3 linked regions of the Bombyx mori genome follow. The protein of the gene in region 2 purifies or fractionates together with the protein of the main gene of each other region. This does not show direct contact. Links are inferred from orthologs where the notes say so. Each region holds a gene or a part of one and is shown on either strand. Other genes may lie near its edges. The genes, in order: intraflagellar transport protein 46 homolog, clusterin-associated protein 1 and intraflagellar transport protein 57 homolog.

The links.
Region 1: the proteins of clusterin-associated protein 1 (region 2) and intraflagellar transport protein 46 homolog purify together in Homo sapiens (affinity purification with mass spectrometry; 3 studies listed by BioGRID and IntAct, with this or other methods). This does not show direct contact. The link is inferred for Bombyx mori from reciprocal best matches to the Homo sapiens genes CLUAP1 and IFT46.
Region 3: the proteins of clusterin-associated protein 1 (region 2) and intraflagellar transport protein 57 homolog purify together in Homo sapiens (affinity purification with mass spectrometry; 4 studies listed by BioGRID and IntAct, counting the BioPlex papers as one, with this or other methods). This does not show direct contact. The link is inferred for Bombyx mori from reciprocal best matches to the Homo sapiens genes CLUAP1 and IFT57.

The regions. Positions count from the first base shown.
Region 1 is NC_085131.1:2,011,671-2,019,117, reverse strand, and holds part of intraflagellar transport protein 46 homolog, read right to left. Parts: intron 7,431-7,447; coding exon 7,304-7,430; intron 6,422-7,303; coding exon 6,256-6,421; intron 2,743-6,255; coding exon 2,576-2,742; intron 1,806-2,575; coding exon 1,702-1,805; intron 768-1,701; coding exon 655-767; intron 1-654. UniProt on the Homo sapiens protein: Forms part of a complex involved in intraflagellar transport (IFT), the bi-directional movement of particles required for the assembly, maintenance and functioning of primary cilia. May play a role in chondrocyte maturation and skeletogenesis.
Region 2 is NC_085123.1:633,581-641,127, reverse strand, and holds the start of clusterin-associated protein 1, read right to left. Parts: upstream 6,290-7,547; coding exon 6,268-6,289; intron 5,893-6,267; coding exon 5,696-5,892; intron 1,269-5,695; coding exon 1,101-1,268; intron 409-1,100; coding exon 313-408; intron 1-312. UniProt on the Homo sapiens protein: Required for cilia biogenesis. Appears to function within the multiple intraflagellar transport complex B (IFT-B). Key regulator of hedgehog signaling.
Region 3 is NC_085120.1:9,284,467-9,292,013, reverse strand, and holds intraflagellar transport protein 57 homolog, read right to left. Parts: upstream 4,990-7,547; 5' UTR 4,918-4,989; coding exon 3,796-4,917; 3' UTR 1,827-3,795; downstream 1-1,826. UniProt on the Homo sapiens protein: Required for the formation of cilia. Plays an indirect role in sonic hedgehog signaling, cilia being required for all activity of the hedgehog pathway.

The sequences.
Region 1 (7,447 bases), on a different chromosome or scaffold from region 2:
TCCACGATCCCAAACCTATCCACCTAAACAATGTAAAGGCAAAATGATCAATCACCATCCTAAAACAAACAGACAACACTATCAAATAAACAATAGTACTTGTTAAGGTATATTTTTGAAGCGAAAACTTCTTTAGCCTCGTTATGATTCGAAAGTCGATGAAACGAAAAAGCGACAGTAAAAAGAGACAGACACATAAATTCATAAGATTTAACGTGGGAGAAAATGAGATAGGAAGCATTATACAGTGTTTCTTATATTCGTGGTTCTCTTTGCTTCGTACCTAATATTCGGACTTAATGCATTCTGAATAAATCTATGTAATTATTATACGAATAAAATGTAAAATAATTATCGAACTTGTGTATCACTATGATCATTAACTAAAACCTACAATTATCCTCTTCCCGAAATTTTAAATTCGTCTCAATTGCAAACATTCTTTTTTTTTTTAATGTCTTCGAAACGAAACAGCCAACAGCCAATCTGATGGTGAATTGCCACAAATGCCAACATGGACATCAACAAAAAAAAAAACGGAAACGCACTGTGGTCGGAATTATTCCAGGCAGTAAGGATGGCTCCGCTGACGAGTGGTACGATGGGTGTTTAAAAAAAATATGTAAAAGCCCTGATTTCCTTTAGCTGCCTCACCTGGTATAGGAGACCGTGGGCGCTGGCTTCGAGAGGTGCAGCTCAGCCACGTCCTTGATCCAACGGTCGATCGCTTTGGGATTGCTCTCCGGATTGTCAATCTTCTTCGTCAACTGAACAACAATATCGATATAGTACTTCGGTTTCTTCTTTTTTTATATTTATCGATAAGATGGGTGGACGAGCTCACGGCCTACCCTATGTTAATTGGTTACCGGAGCATAGACATCTACAACGTAAATGCCACCACCCACCTTGAGATATGATTTCTAAGGTCTCAGTATAGTTACAACGGCTGCCCCACCCTTTAAACCGAAACGGACTGCTTCACGGCAGAAATAGGCAGGGCGGTGGTACCTACCCGTGCGGACTCACAAGAAGAGGTCCTACCACCAGTAATTACGCAAATTATAATTTTGCGGGTTTGATTTTTATTACACGATGTTATTCCTTCACCGTGGAAGTCAATCGTGAACAATTTTTAAGTACGTATTTCATTAGAAAAATTGGTACCCGCCTGCGGGATTCGAACACCGGCACACTCACGTCGCTCCATACGAATACACCTGCCGCGTTATCCTTTAGGCCGCGATGAGTTCATATATTTAACAACAGTAACAAACGTGCCCCTGAGTTCACTATTTTTTATCAATAAATAACCCTTCTACTCATATCTGTTCATAAAATATTTATAACTACTGATAACATGCACCCCACGCTTTTTTTTACAATAAAATCATTTTTCCGTACACTATTTTTAATTCAAAATTTCATAAAAAAAAAAATTCAATTTTTTAGTTGGAGTTTCTATAAAAGCGTATTTTGTTAGTTTTTTTTAACTATTATTTATTTTTATTTTTTTAGTTGAATTTCAATTTTTTCCTATTTTTTTTAATTGTCATCGGTCCATAATAAGTATACCAAATTTCGAGTTAATCCGACGTTTTGAAGTGTGTCAACAAAATCATGTTCAAAGATTCCGTTACATACTAACATATATACGTCTGAAGCTAATAAAAGCGTATTAATATACTTATAAACACACACCACGGTGGTTTTAGAATGATTCGTCTTCGATATAGCCCTCAGCTGCAAGTGTAAAAGCGCCGAGTCGCTTTGTTCGGCCGACGGCTCGTCCAGTACCGTCAGCCCTGAAATCATCAAAATATTCCATACAATTCCGCCACCTTGGCAACATTGCCCTGTACGTACGAACTATAGAACCTAGAACATAACATTTTTGGCCAGACACCAAGTCATCAACTCCAAAAAAAAACGAACTATGGAAGGTAGAAGTAAGGATAATTGCCTCATATCGAGGACAAGATGAAAAAGAGCTCAGCTGTAGCTGTAGCAGGAAATTACAAAAAATCTACCAAAATGGCGATGGTGCTGAAATTGATATGAATATACAAGTTGTAAACGAAAATGTAATGGAATATCTTTTGACGCTTTCTTTGCAATTACACCACTAGTTACGGTGGCGCCGCCCTAATTTGGTAATTTTTTGAAGAACAATTTTTCACAAACGGAGAATGTTCTCCATACCTCCATCCTCTATAGACCGAATTACACGTCCTTACGGATCCATCAGATCCAATAACCTTTGCATTAGACGCCTTCAGCTCTAATACTAGGAGCAGGCTTAGGGACCCCGGTAACCGTACTCGGCGAACTCGACAAAGAGTTCGACGTGTTCTGGAGGATTTTTAACTGTTATTTAGTGCTGAAAGTGGGACACTTTCAAGCTTCCTCCCATATAAGCCGGTTCTCCTTACCTCTATCCTCCATACTATAAGTCTAAATGCGAAATTGGCAGTACGGTAACACAGAAACCATAGATATTACACTTAATATTTAAGAACAAACGTGCCGATCTGAGCAACTCTCCCATCTATTTTGAATCTCATCAAAAACCTACCCAAGTTGTCGATGTGTTCGAGTACTTGTTCGGCTAGCTGGCCCCCTCGCACGTCGCACGCCGGCGTCGTCACCTTTAGGAAGGCGTCAATGTCACCAACAGCCGGCACATATTCCGGCACAAACGGTTGCAGCTTGAAGTCAATGTCTATCTTCTGCGGTGTGTATCTAGAAGAGATTTTTATCTTGTAAAAGATATTCATCGAAAAGAACCATGAAAACCGTCCATTATAACCGGAGATGACGTGTAGTGGAAATGTAAATCCTATAAACTCAACCAAAACAACCGTATTCTAATAAAGTGTATTCGACTCTACGCAATGTAACACAATTTAAGACCAGCTGCCGCGTGCGGTCAACGAACTCCAGTGTCGAGCTGTCTTCGTTTCTTAGTATGAATTAACGAAAATGAATTAGATTAGCAATTTCTTTTCGTTTGTGCTGCCTTCATTTATTACAAATATATAGCAGGATATTTTGCCGCCGTCGTAAACCGAAACAGAAATAATATACTACCCCTACCTGCCAAAAAGTATTAGTCCCAATCTGAATCTGATATGATGGGGCCCTGCAGTCTATCTCGTAATTTGGGAGTCTTTGAAACACACTCAAAGATCATGACGTTTATTGGTCTACTTTGTGAGAGGGATATCAATCAAGATCAACATGATTTACTTACAAAATTTGCGTTCATTGACCCCGGGTTCGATGACTGCCGAATTTTAGTTCGATATAGCTTGCGGGTCTACGAAACGTGTGAAAGTATTAAACATACTCTTAGAGTTGCGAATATTGTAAAAAAAAAAAGAAACAAAATAATAAAATCCATCAAATTAAAAATCTTTCTACCGGAAATATGCGATTTCAAGTTTTCGTGATACAAGGTATGATCGCGTGCTCACGTACAATAACATATTGTGAATTATACACGCGCTTAAACAATATGACGGGTTTCGCTTTTATAAATTTAGCTCCCAGTAGGGCTATAGCAGCAACAGTTGTATGCTTCACTCAAATGTTTTAACAGATTATCTATGGTACTTAACAGTTGCTAGAGATCTTTTTGTTTGGATTTAGGAAATCTCCGGGCATTCGCCTATGTGCTGTTTGCCTTAAGAGTGGTATGTCGGGGTTGAATCGGCTAAGGCCTCCTGTAGCTCAACAAGGGGTGCTTGAGTCTCGAAAGAAGCAGACCGGGGCCCCCTCTGGACACCGAATCAGATTCTTCAGTACTGGAGCTTATAGACAATACAAACTTGGAGCATATTCATAGACTGTCGAAATGTCAGCTAACTACAAACCCGACTCAGACAACGGGACAACGAAGAGTCGACTTCGCCCAAGGTGTCCTTTCAGATTCTCTCCCGGTCATTTTTCTCGTGAGTTCGACGTGCATCCTAATCCATAGACACAACCCATAGAATTCCTCGCCTGACCTTCTCAGTGGGTTGCGATTTCGATCCGATGTTAGATGCAGTGAAGCACTGCTCTTTCTAGGACAGATATTCCGAAACTCTTTCAGGCTGAGCCTCGTGAGCTCATCCATGAGCCAGGATGAAGCCAAAATGGCCCTTCGAGACCACCGGTAGATATACAAAAAACAAAGTCGAAACGTATTGTTACATTGAAATATCGGGTTCCCTAAATTCCTTACCTGAAGAGTAAAATCCATTTAATTCAACATTGAGGCAGTGGAACCTATTTTTACAACATTAAAAGGTAAAGCTAGACTGATCAGGTGAAAGACCTTACTAAAACCCCACTTAACGAGTGCGTGCGCCAAGCCTCAATTTGCAAACTATGGAAATATATCTATAAACTATGGGAATATCTGTCAAGGCTTTGATAGACAAGAATTCCACATGACCACGACTGCTCTGCCAAGAACAACCGACTATGATGATAAAAAGGTAAACTTAGTTTTTACAAATACAGACACAATCGAATATTGGTTTTGAAAGAGTAAATAAACCTTCCTCGGACCACTGCAAACCCTAACCTGGTTGACGCTAATAATCTTATTAGATTTCAATTGCCAGCTCGAATTCGACCTAATGTCTATTACTAAAGAGTTGTTAACCGTTAATTTTAGTTTAACTCTAGATCTAGCAAGGTTAAACTGTAGGCGTTTCGCCCACATGTCTGTAAATTTGATATATCGCATTAAAGGACGATATGTAGAGCGCACTAACTATTCCGTTAATAATTTATAATTGATGTTCTGGGATATCTTGATAACTATGAAAATTTAGGAATGCGTTCGTCTTTGTTTTTCTTTATGTTTTTACCGTGATACATGTCAAACAATGTTTGAGCTTTTTTCCCTACCTACCGATTTGCTGACATCCTAAGGGGATATCCCAGCTTCTCGCGGACGAATAGGTGAGGATCAACCTAAGAGAAATTGCTAACACTAGCCCTAGCAAGAGCGGTGTTTCGGAGAATCTACCACAGAATCGGAATCGCGACCCACTAAGAAGATCCGGCGAGAAACTCAGTGGGCTGTGTTTTTGGGACAATATTTGAGCGGGAAAATAGACAATTTCAGATACACAATGTTCAGATTATTCTATAAACCAGAACCCGTGGTTCTTTGGCGGCAGAAATAAGCGGAGCAGTGGTATCTACCCGTACGGGTTCACAATAATTACTATCGTAACTCCCACTGTCCTAGAATCAACAGTCATTTTGCTAATTTTATTTTGATGACCTAAAATCGCTCGTTAACCGGAGAAAATATCTCGTGGCACATATTAAGTTCCAACGCGGGTGCAGTGGAGTATAAATAATTGGCTTTTAAAAATTCAATCTCGAAAAGAGCACGAAGGAAATATTGAAACCCGACTACCAACAAAAGAGGGAGAGGGTGATGGGAGAGATGTGCTCCGCACTAAACGCTTTGCTTTCTCCCCTTTGCTTTTTCATTAGTTATGTCTCATGCGAGATTTGGATGCTGGTTGTTGAGCGACAGGAGGCTTTAGTCGGTTCGACTCCGACATGCCCCGCCCTCCATCCCCAGTGGAGGGCGGAAGTCCGGTGATTTCCTCCTGACAAAAAAAAGCGTTTTCGTAACATGGATCAGTTACATATACGTCATCAATGCCCGAGGATTCGCATATTAGCGCGCCGGCCGCTGGTACATAAATATAAAAACTACTATAAAATTTACAGTAGCATAGTGTTGCACCGGGTCGAATTTAAAATTCCTGTTTAACAAAGTCGAAGTCAATATTTCGTATTTAACTGTTTTCTTACTCTAAAACTTGACCGGCTGGACTAATATAACGACTTTTTCACAATAAGAAAATGAGAATTATTTCATTGAGCTTATTTACTTTGCGGTATCGGCGAGACGTAATCGGATTTAAAACTATTTTTACGGTTTAATCTCGCGTTTCTTACTGTCGATTTTACTTTACAAATTTGTTGTAAAAGTAGATTCTCCTAATTTTCAAAGGTACTTCATTCTTCTGTGCAATAATTATTTTAAGAATATGTATACATATATGGAACGGGACAGCAGTGGGTACAGGTCGTATATAATGTATGTAAAGTTTGTGCATACACATAAGGCAAAACGCCTATTGAGTCCACAATCACTTGCCATCAGAAAATGCTTATCATCGTAGTCAAAGAAACTCGTGTGCAGCAAACGAAAACTGTAAAGACATAGGTTCTCACTTCATAATATACTGAAAGATGTTTTCCATTTCAGGCGGAACCTTCAGATCCTGATACAGCTTGGGATCGTACGCGCCTTCAGCTGGTATCACGACGCCGCCTCGCTTGCGACCGCTGCCTATCAGGGGGTCGGGTCGCTCGCGTTCCATTTCTCCGCTATCTGTTTCTGAATTATAAGATGATTAAAGCTGATTTCAGACTACGCTATACTATAGTGCCATATATGAGGCCGTCAGCACAAAAGTGGCCTATCCTACATTATTTGATATTCGTAGTTTTTTTGTTCTTCCTACCTATGCTAATAGCCTTGAGAGGCTATTTCAGCTTCACCCTAACGTGTAGGTGAGCTCACGATGCTCAAACCGGACTGTTGCTAACACCGGGCCTAGCAAGAGCACTACTTCGCAGAATTTACCATCGGATCAGAAACGCGACCCACTCAGAAGATTCGGCGAGAAACTCAGTGGGCTGTGTCTATGGGTTAATTCGCTCGTCGAGCCCTTCGTCGTAAGCGACGGGTTCGACGAGGACGGTAACCGGTGCTTGTAGTACCTAAAAGCACCGTTAATGGATCGGGAGGATCCGTAATGACGTGTTTTGGACAACGTCGACTGTATACCATTCGGTCTACAGGTTCGGTCGGCAGTCAGTACAGGTCAGCAAATTCAGACCTCATTGTCTCCATACTTATTATAGTAAGCTCAGGTAAGCTTAGACCACTTTTGCGCTGAAGGCCTTATATAGTAGCCTATACTTTTTTTTATTGCTTGGATGAGTGGACGAGCTCACAGCCTACACAGTATAGTTACAGTTTTAGTGATAAGACAGTCTATTGTACGGTAGAGTTGGACTTTTTGAATAGTTTGGGTTATTTCGGTGTACTATTAAACATCACTTAGAGGTTTTATTTTTCAAGACCATTTGTTCGTAGGACTTATGGGCTCCGGTGACCATTTAGCACCAGGTGGGACGTGAGTACCTCTATCGGTTTAGAGGTATAAAGACTGTTATCTGCGGTCTGTAGCAGTATTTGATTTTTTTAACTCACCAGAATTAGAAGAATCATTACGTTTGGAGGACGCTTTGGGTCTCTCGCTGCCTGCCTTGGTAACCTTCGTAACGTTTTTCTGGACATCATTCGCTTTCTCGGGCACAAGCGGCTTCTTGTCTGGTACCTAAAACATAATGCTTG
Region 2 (7,547 bases):
CGCTCGTCTGCCTACAAGGGCAACAAAAAAAAAAGAAACTAAAACTGAGACGCCGCTTAACTTAAGGCCCGGAGTTCGTCTGTCCATTTAGGCTAAAAATTTGTATCCGAAGAATTGGAACAATACATTAGTGCCTTAGAATGTGTACACGAAAACGGAATGAAGCTTATATTCGTGCATCAAAATCTTTGCAAAGACTAATCTGAGCTATGGTGCTGAATTTGCTGAAGTAGGTCACGATTTGCTTTTGATTAGAGTCAAGGAGTCTAAATTGGAGTCACTTAATTTCCATAAGCAGAATGAAAAATGTACCTTATTCTCAGGTTCCTTAGTCAGTAAGTCGTATAGGAAAGCGCCTTGAGCGGTAATTTCCGTAGCTAAAGCACGAGCTTGTTTTATTTCCCCCAACTGGAATGAAGAATGAGATTTTTTTCGATCCCGACAATAAAATAATCTGTTTTTATATTTGATTGGTTGTATCTCTCACGTTGCTTTGCTTTCATCGAACCTCGGAAGACGCACAGCATCCAGTCGACCAAGTGCTTAGTGCAAATAGACGAAGACTTCACATTTTAAGATAAACGTTGACGATAACGATAGGTAGATAGGTTTACTGGTGGTAGGACCTCTTGGGAGTCCGCACGGGTAGGTACCACCACCCTGTCTATTTCCGCCGTGAAGCAGTAATGCGTTTCGGTTTGAAGGGTGGGGCAGCCGTTGTAACTATACTTGAGACCTAAGAACTTATAACTCAAGGTGGGTGGCGCATTTACGTTGTAGATGTCCATGGGCACTAGTAACCACTTAACACCAGGTGGGCTGTGAGCTCGTCCACCCATATAAGCAATAAAAAATAAATAAATAAAAAGGTACATGTAAATATAATTTTTTTATTGATGATAAAAATTTTAGTACCGTCTCTGAATCGCTAACCGTTCCCGTGTTCTTTGTAAAAGAACTATTTGGTAGCATTAGGGATGGCGATTTTAAAACGAGCCGGTTCTCAAAATCTTACGTACAACTAATAAAAAAATGTACAAAAAGACAAAAAGTAAAAAAGTCTACAGAATTCTCGTAACACGCGGGATCTTACTACTGACCCTATTACTGATGTCATAAGACAGCGGAGTTGAATCGGACTGGTCTTCAGAGCCCGGTGACTCCAAGGCTGCTCTCAACAAGGTCGCCACCTTCAGCAACTCACGCACGGCCCAGCCATCAGCACCGTACAACTTCTTGCCGTTTAGTTTAAGATTCGCTCGGGAGTGCTGTCAATTGCATAAGTTTTCAACTATATTTTTTAAACTTAGAGAAGCAAATGGCATCTTGTTTAATATTATTATTAGGTGAATATTGTTGTTCGTCTTGTCATAAGATAATTAAATATTTAATGTAGGTAAACGCTAAGAAACTCCACATCATGGTAGGCAGGCGAGTGTCTAGTTGCCCCTGGCAATATTATTATCCGTAGCTACGAACGACTGAACTTTTTCCATGATGTGGGCCAGACGCAAATTAAGAATATTCACAGTAACACTTGTAGACATTAATGAAATGAGTACTTTAGTCATGTTCGTGAATAACTTGCACAATGAAGGTCATAACAAGAATAATAACGTTTTTTTCTTTTTTTGCGTAGTTACACTGATGGCGGTGCCTCTTGTAAGCCTAACTTGTCTATTTCTGCCGAAAAGCAGTGATGCCATCCGGTTCGAAGGGTCCGATCCAGTGGTAGATTCTGCGAAGCGCTGCTCTTGTGAGCTCTCCTACCCGTCCGGGCGTAGCTCGAATAGTCTCTTAAGCTACCAGCGAATAAGTAAAGGAAAATAAAAAGGTGGGACAGCTGTTATATTATACAATTGTAGCTTGAACATCATGTCTCAAGGTAGGTGACGGCATTCACGTACTGATGTACCTAGGTATAACTGATCGGTTATATTCGTTCTCCTGTCTATGCAATGTTTTTTTTTTTTTATGATTGAAGGATTACTGGTGGCCCGGAGGCCTTTCCAGTTTCACCAGGACAGGTGGGCGAGCAAAGGCTCAGCCAGGAGGGGTGGGATTTGCTAACAGCTACCCGAGCGCCTCCGAAGGAGACCTAACAACTCAAGAGTAGCTGCTTCGCGAATGAATCTACTACCGGATCGGAATCGCGACCCGCTGAGAAGATCCGGCGAGAAACTCAGCGAGCTGATTCATGGGTTAGGTTGCACGGCGAACTCTTTGTCGAGTTCGATGAGTACGGTTACCGAGGTCCCTAAGCCTGCTCCTAGAGCTGAAGGCGTCTAGTGCAAAGGTTATTGGATCTGATGGATCCGTAAGGACGTGTCTAGGGCGTCGACGGTGACTGGCTCCTGCATGATCAGGATTCGGGGAGTAGTCAGCGGCGGCTACGATAAGGCGATTATCATGACGCATAGCCTTATCGAAGTACCGTTCCGACGCTGACTTCATGTATTTCTGTATAGATTCGAGGCCCAGGTCGTCGTGTAGGTCAACGTTCCTCACGAACCACGGAGCTCCGACGGCTAACCTGCAAAGGCGGGATTGTAGAGATTGAAGGGTGTCTATGTGTGTGCGGGCCGCGTGAGCGAACACCACACTCGCGTAAGTCATGACGGGCCTTATGCAAGTTTTGTAAAGTGTCACCTTGTTCCGAAGGGACATTTTACTCCGCTTACAGATCATGGGGTAGAGTCTACCGAGAATAAACGCGGCACGGTCACGGACTGATTTTATATGCGGGCGGAATGTCATCGATGCATCCAGGGTAACGCCCAGGTACTTGACCTTCCTGGCCCAGGGTATGGATTGACTAAAGAGAGTAATCGGGGGTGTAAGATTCCTCCTCCTAATACGGGAGGAAATCCGTGTGGAGCTTCCCCTCTGAAATAGCACCGCAGTACTTTTCGCTGGGTTGATGTCTATGCGCCATTTTCGGAACCACTGTCCTAGGGCTAGGGCTGCGCTCTGAAGCTTCTTCGCGATTAGGGACTTGTTTCTACTGGAATAGTAAACAGTCGTGTCGTCGGCGAATAAAGCTAAATGGGTTGGCGGCGACCGGGGAATATCGTTAACGAATAAGCTAAATAGGAGGGGTGAGAGGACAGAGCCTTGCGGGACTCCAGCTGTGAGAGGTCGTGGGGAGGAGCGGGTTCCCTCGACTCGATATCGAAAAGAGCGGTTCGACAAGAAGTCCCGTATGATGAGCATGAGACTATCCGGCACACCCATGTTGAATAGTTTGAAAATCAAACCGTTGTGCCAGACTTTGTCGAACGCTTTTGCGACGTCGAAGAAGAGAGCTCCCGTGTATAACGGTTTTGGTCGATTAAGCCCCACAAGAATGTGCTCCGTGAGGCGGTGCACCTGTTGAACGCATGAGTGGTTTGTACGGAATCCGAATTGTTCATCGATGAGAATGCCCTTGGATGAGACGAAGTCTCTGAGGCGTTTGTAGAGCAGACGCTCATACAGTTTGCCTAGAGACATGAGGAGGCTAATCGGGCGGTAGCTCGTCGGATGATTTTTTGGTTTACCGGGTTTATGTATGCCGATAACGTCCGCTTCTTTCCACACCGCGGGAAAGATACAGTTCGCCATAGCGGCATTGAATATAGATGCCAACATCACGATGAGTTGGACGGGTAGAAGTTTAACAACGCGGTTGGATATACCGTCGGAACCGGGAGCCTTGCAAGGACGTAGGTCTTCGATCAAGTCTTTAACTTCCATCGGGGTGACGGGTGGTAACGCATCCGAGGGTGGCAAGGAGGCTCTGCGTTCTACCTCACTGTCTACTAATTCTACATGAACAGGGTCCACGGATTGAGTGCTGGGCGTGCACTGGGTTTGCAATGTATCGGCCAGCAGCTCTGCTTTTTCGTCATCATCGAACGCCGCGAGTCGGCCTGAGGGGCCTACGAGGGGGGGCATAGCTACTACCGTATCCGATTTGAGAGTACGAGCTAAGCGGTAGTAAGACCTTTGGGAGGGCGCGAGTCCTTCTAAGAAATCAGACCATCTGGCATCTCGGACTTCGGCGATGCGAGACTTTACGTCGCGTTGTAGGGCACGCATTCGAATACGATTTTCCGCGGTAGGATACCTGTCGTAGGCGCGTATTGAGGCGTTCTTAGCTCTTAGGAGCTCCCTAATATCGTCGGACAATTTGAAGCGGTGAAGGAAGTCCTCCGCTACAACTTGTTTCGATGACCTATCTAATGTCGAGGTGATGTGTGACGTTAAGATGTTTATGGCTTCAGCGGTATCCTGAGGAGACGGGGTAGAGTCCGGGCTAAACGGGTGCGATGGTGGATCAGATTCAGCCAGGCTGATGCCCAACGTGTGCCAATCCACCACAGTCCTCGTGACGGGAACGGAATCGGGAGCGCGACCGAGCTTCATAACGACAGGACGGTGGTCTGAATCTAACTCTGAAACTACTTCGATCGAGTGTAAGCGCAGAGTTACGTTTTTTAATAACGCTATGTCGAGTATATCCGGGCGATGCGCGATATTTAGCGGGTAGTGAGTCGGGGTTAGCGGAGCGACGATATCGAAGGCGAGATCATCAACTAACGCGTCAAGCCGCCTGCCATTCGGGGTTGTGGTGTGTGAGTTCCACCTGATGTGTTTACAATTTAAGTCGCCCGCCAGAATGACAGAGCTTCCCATGCCGAGCAGCGCCTCGATATCACTGCTTAGAACGATCTTATCCGGTGGAAGATAAACGGACGCGATAACGATTGGCGCGTGTCCCGTCAGTGAGATTCGGCACACTGATGCTTCGATATTAGCGAGCGCGGGACGATCGAGCGGGACGCAATGCAGGGCTCTTCTATAGTAAATGACGGTACCACCACCACGGGCAGAGAGCCTGTCGTTCCTGACCATGTTATAGTTCGCGATTTTAGGGTCACGGCGCGCGGGCTTAAGTAGGGTCTCCTGCACTAAAAATATATCAATTTGATGGTCACGCAAAAAGTCAGAAACCTGATCACGTTGATTTGCGAGACCGTAAGCGTTAAAAAATCCTATCGTTACGGATAGGGGCTTTAATCTACTTATATACGCCATTGATTACCGGCGGAGTGAGGGGAGGACGTACGTATTTAATGACGCGTATACGTCGGCGTATTCTTGCACAACGGCGATAAAGTGTTGTGCAGTGGAGGCAGCGCGAATGGCGTCGCCCAAAGCGTTAACGCGCTCAAAGTTGATCAACTGAAAGAAGTCGATCGCTAAAGCGAGATTTTCGGACGCGGTCGGAGGGCAAGTCGCGGGAGAGGGACGAGTCGCGAGGGCGGGACGAATCGCGGAGGAGGGAGTTGTAGCCGTGTTCGTGTACGGCAGCGGTTTCGCCCAGGCCGAGACACTGGGCACCGCCGCCGGAACGAACGCTGGCTTAGCCTGCGACGCAGAGGGTGCCGAGGCTTTGATGTCTGGGCCGAAAGCTCGGAGGCGGTTTTGGCGGGTGACGCGGCGATTTATTTTCGGGGCTCGGGGGCATCCGCGGTAATTTGCGGGGTGACCCTGTGTTTGACACAGGACGCAGCTAGGCGGTTCCGTAGCGGTTTTTTTATCGCGAGTGCATAGGGCCGTGGCGTGATCGCCTAAACACTTGACGCATCGGGGGCGGTCTATGCAATGTATAAGCATTCCAATGCAAAATAATGAGGCACACTAAACTTACAAACAGAGACACCGCGTGCGTCACTATGGACACGCGCTGCTCCACGCTGCCCCGGCCGCCGGCCAGGACGGCGTCGGGGTCGACCCTCGCCGCCTGCCAGCGGAGACACTCCTCCACCAGTTCCCAGTTCGGGATCCTGAAGCTCTCCAAGGATATTGGCTTCGGGAAGCCTAACACGCGCATGGCTTCGCTGAAATCTTTAATGTTACATTTATGAAGGATTGTTAAGAAGTGAAGAGTATGGAACGGAGCGTTAAGATGTGAGAGAAGGGAAACGGTAAGGAAGGGAAAGAGAATGAGAGACAGAATGACAGCGAAAAGTAAGATGACGAAGACAATTGAATGAGCAAGGCCTAAGGTGTCAGTTGATTTTTCATTATTAGTGCAATATATTAAGTGTATACCTAATCTATGATTAGTGCAACAGTGGATAGTTTATTTTATGTGCCACGATCCCAATTCTACATTCATTTTCACGATAAAATTTCTTCTACTTTTAATGGATAAAAGGATGTACAAACAAGCCTAATCTTATTAGAATCAAAAAACTTTCTTCTAATTGTAAAACTCACTTCTAAGATCACGGTAAGACATGTCGTTCTCACTGGAATAACAGTTTTTACCGTGTTTACAAAATAGCACTGTTCTAACACTTAAGGATAGACTTGTTGTGAAAAGCCGTTACTATGACAACGTCTTTCTCATTGATAACATAACCTGTTACATTACCTGTTCTTACCATAGACCTTTATACTTCAGTGGTTCTTACCTTGAAAAATATTCTCTTTTTTTAGTAGTGCAGATTAGTTTCATAATCATATTAGCCAGCTAGCTAATAATAATAATATCGCAAAAAAAGGAACACAAAAAAATTTAGGCACATACATTTTTTTAGGAATCAATGCTGGTGGTAACCCTAATTTTATGAATACTAACCATAAATCTATTAAGTAATTATTCACATGTTGAAGAATCATAATCGATTATTTAATTAATTTGGATTTAAAGTCGCCGAATGACGTCTGTGTGCTTAGTGCGGTTATTTTAACTTTCTCGATAGCGTAAAAGTTAACTCAAATTTGTATGCAGTTGGAACGTTTGCGTACGTTTGCCGCTAGGGGCGCTGTTTGAGTAACTTTCGCTATAGAGAACGTTAAAAAACTCGCACTAAGTACACACAAAATAAAACTTGTGAAAAATAAACATAAAAATTTTCGAACAATTTTTATTTTTATAGTACCTATATAAATCGCTACAAAACATGAATTATTTATCTCAGTTTTATACTAATTGGGCATACAAATAGTGTTGTCTTATGAGAACTACTAATTTAATAATTTTATTTCTTTAGTTTTCCTACAAAAGATATACAAGTTACACATATAGTTAAAAGAGCTGTAGCTCACTATTAGCTCGTGTGCTCCCTCGACTAGAGGAAAATGTAGCTTTCATAAGAATACAACAATGCTAACACTCACTCAACTAATAATAAAAGCTCTTATTCAGACGCCCCTTAAATGCATAATTAATATTAATTATTGTGCATAATTAATCATCATCATCATCATCATCATCAGCCTTTATCTGCCCACTGCTGGACATAGGCCTTCCCCAATGCCTTCCACATAATGCGGTCCTCCGCCTTCCGCATCCAACGACTTAATTAATGCAATGTGTATACTGCAAAGCTATTATTTGATCTTCTCTGAATAATAAAAATATACAAAGATTATCATTTTTCACTCCATTCTTATTGAGATCAGTTTAAATTTACAAACTCCTGCAATATTGTAATGATTAATCATTTTGGTGGTCATTTGCTAAGTTATTGCTGTCAGGCGCTTAATTATTT
Region 3 (7,547 bases), on a different chromosome or scaffold from region 2:
CGGTAAACTGCACAACGTCTTCTCGTCCAAAATACCTCAGTGCCTTAAGACAAAGGTGTACAACCAATGTGTGTTACCAGTGATGACTTACGGCTCGGAGACGTGGTGCTTCACTAGGGATCTTTTTAGAAGGCTCAAAGTCGCGCAGCGAGCTATGGAGAGGGCTATGCTCGGCATTTCTCTACGTGATCGAATCCGAAATGAGGAGATCCGTAGAAGAACGAAGGTTGCTGACATAGCCCGTAGAATTAGTGAACTGAAGTGGCAATGGGCCGGCCACATAGCACGAAGAGAGGACGGTCGATGGGGCAGAAAGATCCTGGAGTGGCGACCACGTACTGGCAAGCGCAGTGTGGGACGGCCACCTACTAGATGGACCGACGACCTAGTAAAAAGTGCTGGGTCTCGTTGGATGCAGGTGGCAATGGACCGGTCGCACTGGAAATCTATTGGAGAGGCCTATGTTCAGCAGTGGACGGCGATAGGCTGAAATGATGATGATGATGATATGAATATACAAGAATTGCTCGTTTAAAGGTATAAGATACTTTAAACTTTCTTTACTTAAGCTTATTTAAGTTTACAACATTATTATTTAATTTGGTAAATATCTCTTTATTCGTGTGTCTATATTCAATTTAATTTGAAAGTTGTATGAGATAAGTACACGGAATATTTATAATATATAATCGATTATAAGTTAATGATACATACTTTTTTAGTTCCAATATATTTTAGTCTGGATTTTGCGGTATCTTTTTTGTTTTTGTTTAGGGGAAAACATGGCGGAATATCATGTCTAATAGTTAGTTATAATAACTTAACCTATTCAATAAAAAATTAATGCGATATTTATTTAAAATTTTAAATATATTTAAAGAAAATGGACCAAACCTTAACAATTTTGTTTTATTAATAATTAAAGTACCATGTTCTGTTTAGTTCCTTAAGTACCAAAGACTAAATTTACGTCAAATGCACAAAAGTAAGTACACAGTAGTCACATAATGCGATTCAATCTAAAGCCAATAAATGTTGGCCAAAACTCAGCCAACGCGGGCGTAGGAAATGAGTAATTCATAAGTACAGTCTACAGTAGGTTTAGAGAAGTCGAAATGAGACCCCAAATCATATTTATTTCTTTTGCTTGGACCTGAGCAATGGTAAGACGACGATGATTACCGGAGCCCGTGGACATCAACGAAGTAAATGCCGTAATGCAACTGGACACGTGTACTAAGTCACAGTTATATACTATAATAATATGCGTTGTTTGATTATTATTATTTTTTTATTATTCAAAATTTTTTTCTGTTATATATTAGAGCTTATAAAATATATTGTGTGTTGGCTAAAGTTAACGCAAGCAGAGACATCTGGAAATAAAACCCGAAAAAATTTAATATAAAAATAAAATAATAATAAATACAGTTTTTGTTTTCGTTCAAACGTAAATTCCAAAAAAAATAATTACATCTTGTCAAAACTGTATTTTTTTTTCTTCGGTTTGTATTTTAAAATGTCTTTTGCTATGACTGTATGTTAGCTTGGCATGCAACATCCGCAGTAACGTAAGTATTTAAAATAAATCCATAATATATTATTTATTTTGTGCAATACATCATAGCATGATAGCTTTAAAGAAACACTATAAAAAAATGATGGTTTTATAAATTAAAAACGTTTCTGACAACTTCGTGGTGTTTCTATTATTAAATTCTAGAAGTTATCGAACATTCTTCGATTGATTTATATTGAGAATAATTCATTTTTATTGTTAATATGTTGTCACTACTGAAAATAAATGTATTCAATAAACCACCAAAAGTGTATTATTTTATTTTTATTGATAATAATAATAATAATAATAACTCTTTATTTATATAACACCTTAATATGTACACAGTAAAGTAACAAAACAAAAGTCGGTATATAAATCGGCGGCCTTATCGCTGAAAGCGATCTCTTCCAGGCAACCTTGCAGGGAGAGGAATAAGTTAACTGGACGGTGCTATATCTTAATAAACTTACATAAAAATATATACTTAAATACACATGTGAAAAATAAATACCATATAAGATAAACTTACATACGATTAAATACAAATAAATACTAAAAATATACAAGATAAAATACAAAAGAAGTAGGAACTTATACAGTTATATCATAGAAGCAAAGTAGTGCGATTTCAATCTGGACTTGAAAATTTCCGGCGAGGAAGATAGTTTAACGCTTAAGGGTAACGCATTCCATAAACGGACAGCCTCAACCGCAAAGGAATGGTCATAAAATGACGTCAATACTACTTGTACAATACTTTTTGTAATACAATATTTAAGTCGCAATTCAAAAATCTAACAGATATTAATTAATATATCTTTTACAGTTTAATATCGCGTTTTTTTTTTCTTCATTGTATCGTGGGGTGACAGGTTATTTGGCTCGACATTTATCGATGTAACTAAAGGTCCGTTTTATTTGGTATTAGCATCAACACTTCGATGTTTTTATTCAATTAAGTTTACCCCAATCAAATAGCTAAAGAAGTTTTTTTGGTATGATATTTTTTCCAAATTTTAAACTTTGAATATGAGTCCTGTAAAGTTGCAAATATGTCGCTGAAACCAAATAGCCTCTCACTCCTAGAATTATTATATCCGACGCTTCGAATACTTTGAGGGGGAAGAGGTCATGGATGGAGTGTGTGAATGACGATATGAGAGAGAGAGAGAGAGAGAGAGAGGAGTGAGTGTTGAGATGACGGCTGATAGAAGAGAATGGAAGAGAAAAATTTGCTGTGCCGACCCCACCTAGTGGGATAAGGTAGAGAAAAAGAAAAAGAGTTTCGAATACTTTTACAGTTGTCGTGGCCCGACGTCCGTGTAAAAAAAAACTATGAAAAGCATATTATATTAAATCGTAGAATTAATTTTAATTATGTCTACGACTCGAGAAAACCGTATAAAACGCTGATAGGTATTTATTTATAGCCCACCAATATAAAAATTAATGTCATCAAAATTTACAATTTTTTTTCTGATCCTTCTTGATCGTGTTCTTCTTTTAACTGAGGTCGTCGATTTTCAGCAACTCTAAGAGCTGAAGTGAGGTAGGCCAATGAATGTCTTCATTTGGTAAAAGCAAGGGCATCTATGAGGCCTTTTGCAATTTACTTTAGCCACAACGCCACCAGTTTGTGACAATTGTTAGGTTCCTAACTGACAATATGACCAAAGTAGCCTAGTAGTACAAAGAAGAGTTTGCATACATGAGACAAAATAAATCTTAAAAAACTACAAACAGTTATTGAAACAAGACATTAATACATTTCATGTCTTATAAATGCATTGTTCGGTAGTCCAATAAAGTCGGGCAAAATAGTCGTATTAAACCATACATTGCATTCAACAAATAACAAACCATTTCGTTTTGACAGAATTATTTTGTTGAGACTGCTTAGTGGCAAACCTTGGATTCGATTTGCCAACATTAATAGCGACACACCAAAAACTTCGTACAAATACTGTATCAATCTAAAATAATAATTAACTAGCTGAACCCCTCCGCTTCGCTGGGCATTTAAACATTATTATTTCTCAACCCCACAAAAATTCTCATCATTAACGCCCCCGCAACTGGTGTAGGGAGTCCAACACATCAATGTTAGCCTATCCATTAAGTACATGTATTATCTACATGGATACCAAGTTTCAAGTCAATCGGATGCACGGTTCAGTAGTTATAACGGAACATCCGTAAAAACCACTAGATTGATGTATTAGTATAGATTGTATTTAGTACACTTCGTTGGCAATCATCCCAGATTCCTTGTTATTAAGTAAACTGTTGCCATTCGATTCCTTTGTTGTCAGAAGCCACAGCAACACCGTGATCTGAAAGTCCATTTCCTGTATATCTTTCTTCAAGGTCGCGACAGCTTTCTTTGCTGTAACTAGAGGAGAATTGTCGTTCATCGAGGACCCTTTAGATTCGGTTCTTTGTTTAATATTCTCTAGCTTTGTTGAAAGCTCGTTCAACATGTCTTGCCTTTCAGTGATACCTACACTGGCCTCTTTATATTCATTTGACACTTTGTTTAGTTCGTCGAGTAGAGAACCATATTCTTTGACAAGAGGCTCGAATTGCTCATTCAATATATTCTCCCTGGCCGTTACCTTATCCATAGCCGATGAAATGCTACTGTGCAATTTATTCAGCTGGGTTCCCGTTGTTTTAAATCTATCGAATAACTCTTCTTTGTAACTCCTCATCTGTGCATGTCTCGCTCGCCAGTCGCGTCCATCGGCGGATATCTTCAATCTTAGAGCCGGAGCGACCCTTTCCAATTCCAACTTCCACGCTTCCCAATCGTGAACCTTTTGGGCTATGTTACTTGGTTCTTTTTCGTCTGCATTAATATCTCCTTCAGATTCATCAGAATAAATGGGCATTTCATCTTCAACTTTGTCCAGTAATATTTCGGTTTCGTCTTCAACTTGATCAATGTCATCAACCGACTCTTCTGATTCTGGTATGTCAACAACTGGTTTTTGCCATTCAAAGTTTTCTTTTTTCAATGCTTCATCTGCGAGAATATTCAGGATACTACAAACTTGATCGCCCCATCCTTGTTTTAGTTTATGCGAAGAGAAATCTACATTAACTTCGTTTTCTTTGAGTACATCAATTACTGCAGCTATGATTGTGTTAGGATCGTCCTCTTCGTTGGGCTGAGCGAAATCCTTGCCACACTTCCTTATCAACCAGGCCGCTGTCGAGGCAAACACGAAAAACTGTTCGTTCGGATTAGTGGACGTCACGAAATAATATCGACTCAACGGTTTCATTTTTATCTGGGGACGCAGATCCGTGTCGATTTTTAATAAACGTAATTTATCCATAAGTCTTAAATCCATGTTGATAATGTTTGAATTACGCTAAAAGTAATGCGTGATTGTTTTGAAGTGCTTCGCTACGGTTGCTATGGTGATCAGTCCACCGCTTAAATGTGAAGTGTATTTATTATCTATGGTCTACAGTTCGTTGGTAAACATAGATATTACGCTAATATTAGATTTGTAAATGCACTGAATTTCAAGGAACTACACAAATTCCAGAAATAAGTGATAGGTACATCGAAAAATAAATGAAATAACAACTTCTTGCTGCCGGTTCGGGCTCATATGTCAAGACGATTGAACGATTTTAAACTGGTAGTAGGACCTTGGGAGTCCGCACGGGTAGGTACCACCACCCCGCCTATTTCCGCCGTGAAGCAGTAATGCGTTTCGGTTCGAAGGGTGGGGGTAGCCGTTGTAACTATACTTAGAACTTATATCTCGAGGTGGGTGGCGCATTTACGTTGTAGATGTCTATGGGCTCCAGTAACCACTTAACACCAGGCGGACTGTGAGCTTGTTCATCCATATAAGCAATAAAAAAAAACCTTTTCTGTATTCTTGGTTCTAAACAAGTTAGTTTCCTTATATCAAGTCGGTTTATTAATACAGAAGCTCTGATACTCATTTTCTACGCTTGTATTATTATTACAAACGTTGGGAACAATACTACGCATTCTCTCACCCATGTTTGGATATCGGTATGATTAATTTTAATTAAACCATTGTTAAACTAAGATTCATTAATAATTTTGAAACGGTTGTGTTCATCAATTTGCTGAACATATTCTCTGGTGCGTACTCAACAAGAAATTAACTGTGTCTATGAGACATGAAAATGAACTTAATGTAAAACGAAATGTACTAGTGAAGATGAGATTGGAAGCTGTAGTGGTAGCGGTAAGCAGCGGCTTGGCTCTGCCCCTGGGATTGCTGAAGTCCACGGGCGACGTTAACCAACCACTCACAGGTGGGCCGTATGCTCGTCTGCCTATAAGGGCAATAAAAACAAAGAAAAAAAAGCTGCTAATATTAAAATTAACAGAGCAACAATTGGCCGATTAACGCACCGTCGCGGTTTTCGCAAATTAATATTTTTTTTTATCACACGATTTTATTGCATCACTTTGGGAGGCATACACGAAAACGTGTTATGTACGTATTTCATTACAAAAATGTTTATCTGCCTGCGGTATTGGAACACTGGCATGGTTGCATCGTTCGATACTAGTAAGAGCGTCTTATCTAGGCCACGACAATTCCAATGACTGCAAGATGCTCTGCCACCAATACTTTAGATAGAAACTAGAAGGTTATACGTAATTACGGTTTCGCCCGATCCATTAACGGTGCTTTTAGGTACCTACCTCAAGCACCGGTCACCGTCCTCATCGGACCCGTCGCTTACGACGAAGGACTCGACGAATGAATTAACCCATAGACATAGCCCACTGAGTTTCTCGCCGAATCATTTTAGTGGGTCGCGTTTCAGATCCGGTAGTAGATTCTGCAAAGCACTACTCTTGCTAGGGCCCTTGTTAGCAGCACTCCCGGTTTGAGCCCCGTGACCTCACCTACACGTCAAGGAGAAGCTGAATAGCCTCTCCAGGCTATCAGCATAAGTAGGAAAAAAACAAAAATGTTAAGAATTAGGCAGTGGGAAAATAAATTAGAGTATTTTAACCGTGAAGGGATGGCAGGAAAATTCTAGCAGTGCTTCAAGAAAGCCAGAATTGTTTACCCGTACATCCTAATTATTGATAGCAGTTACATTGATCGTTAAAATCCTCTGAGCATACCTATCTGGTAATCTTTTTATACAGAGGCTCATACAGGAACTTATGGGAAGTGGTCACAGTCGTTTATGGACTTCAGCAATAGCAGGGGAACAACTATGATTTGGTTGTTTGAAAATGATCTTTCCACGCCCCATAAAACTTCGAATCTCAAGAGAGTTCATCCCTCGCTGACGTTGGATAAAATGCTACGCATATACTGGAATGAGCACTGAACCAATTTATCTATGCTTCATAAAACTTTTTGCTTAGATAGACTTAGGATAGGACTTACTGGTGGTAGGACCTCTTGTGAGTCCGCACAGGGATAGTACCACCACTCTGCATATTTCTGTCGTGAAGCAGTACTGCATTTCGGTTTGAAGGGTGAGGCAGCCGTTGTAATTATACTGAGACACCTGGTGGGCTGTGAGCTCGTCCAACTATCTGAGCAATAAAAAAATCTAGTGAAGTAGCAAAAAACAGTAATTCAAGAAATACAAAATGTGATAGCAACTCGGAACTATTCGGAGCCAAGCTAAATTACTAAACATTATATCAGTGCACCTCAAAATAATTCCATCAGTACAACCGACTGGAACGGAGTGCCTCATTAGTAGGCCGTGCGCATATGAGAGCCGTCTGATCCTTATAAAATAAAATAAAAAAAATCCTCAATAAAGACCGGCTTTATCTCGTATTACTGGCACGATAAAATTAGAAACATTCGCGTCCACCGCGTGCTGCTTCAGAACTTCAGTTCAGTCGCGGCCCGGCGTTCGTTAGAGACGATCGTGTGTCCTTAAACAAACCGACGTAACTCACAAAATAGTTATTCTTTTATTGTCGCCGCGTCACGTGTCTTGACTGTTC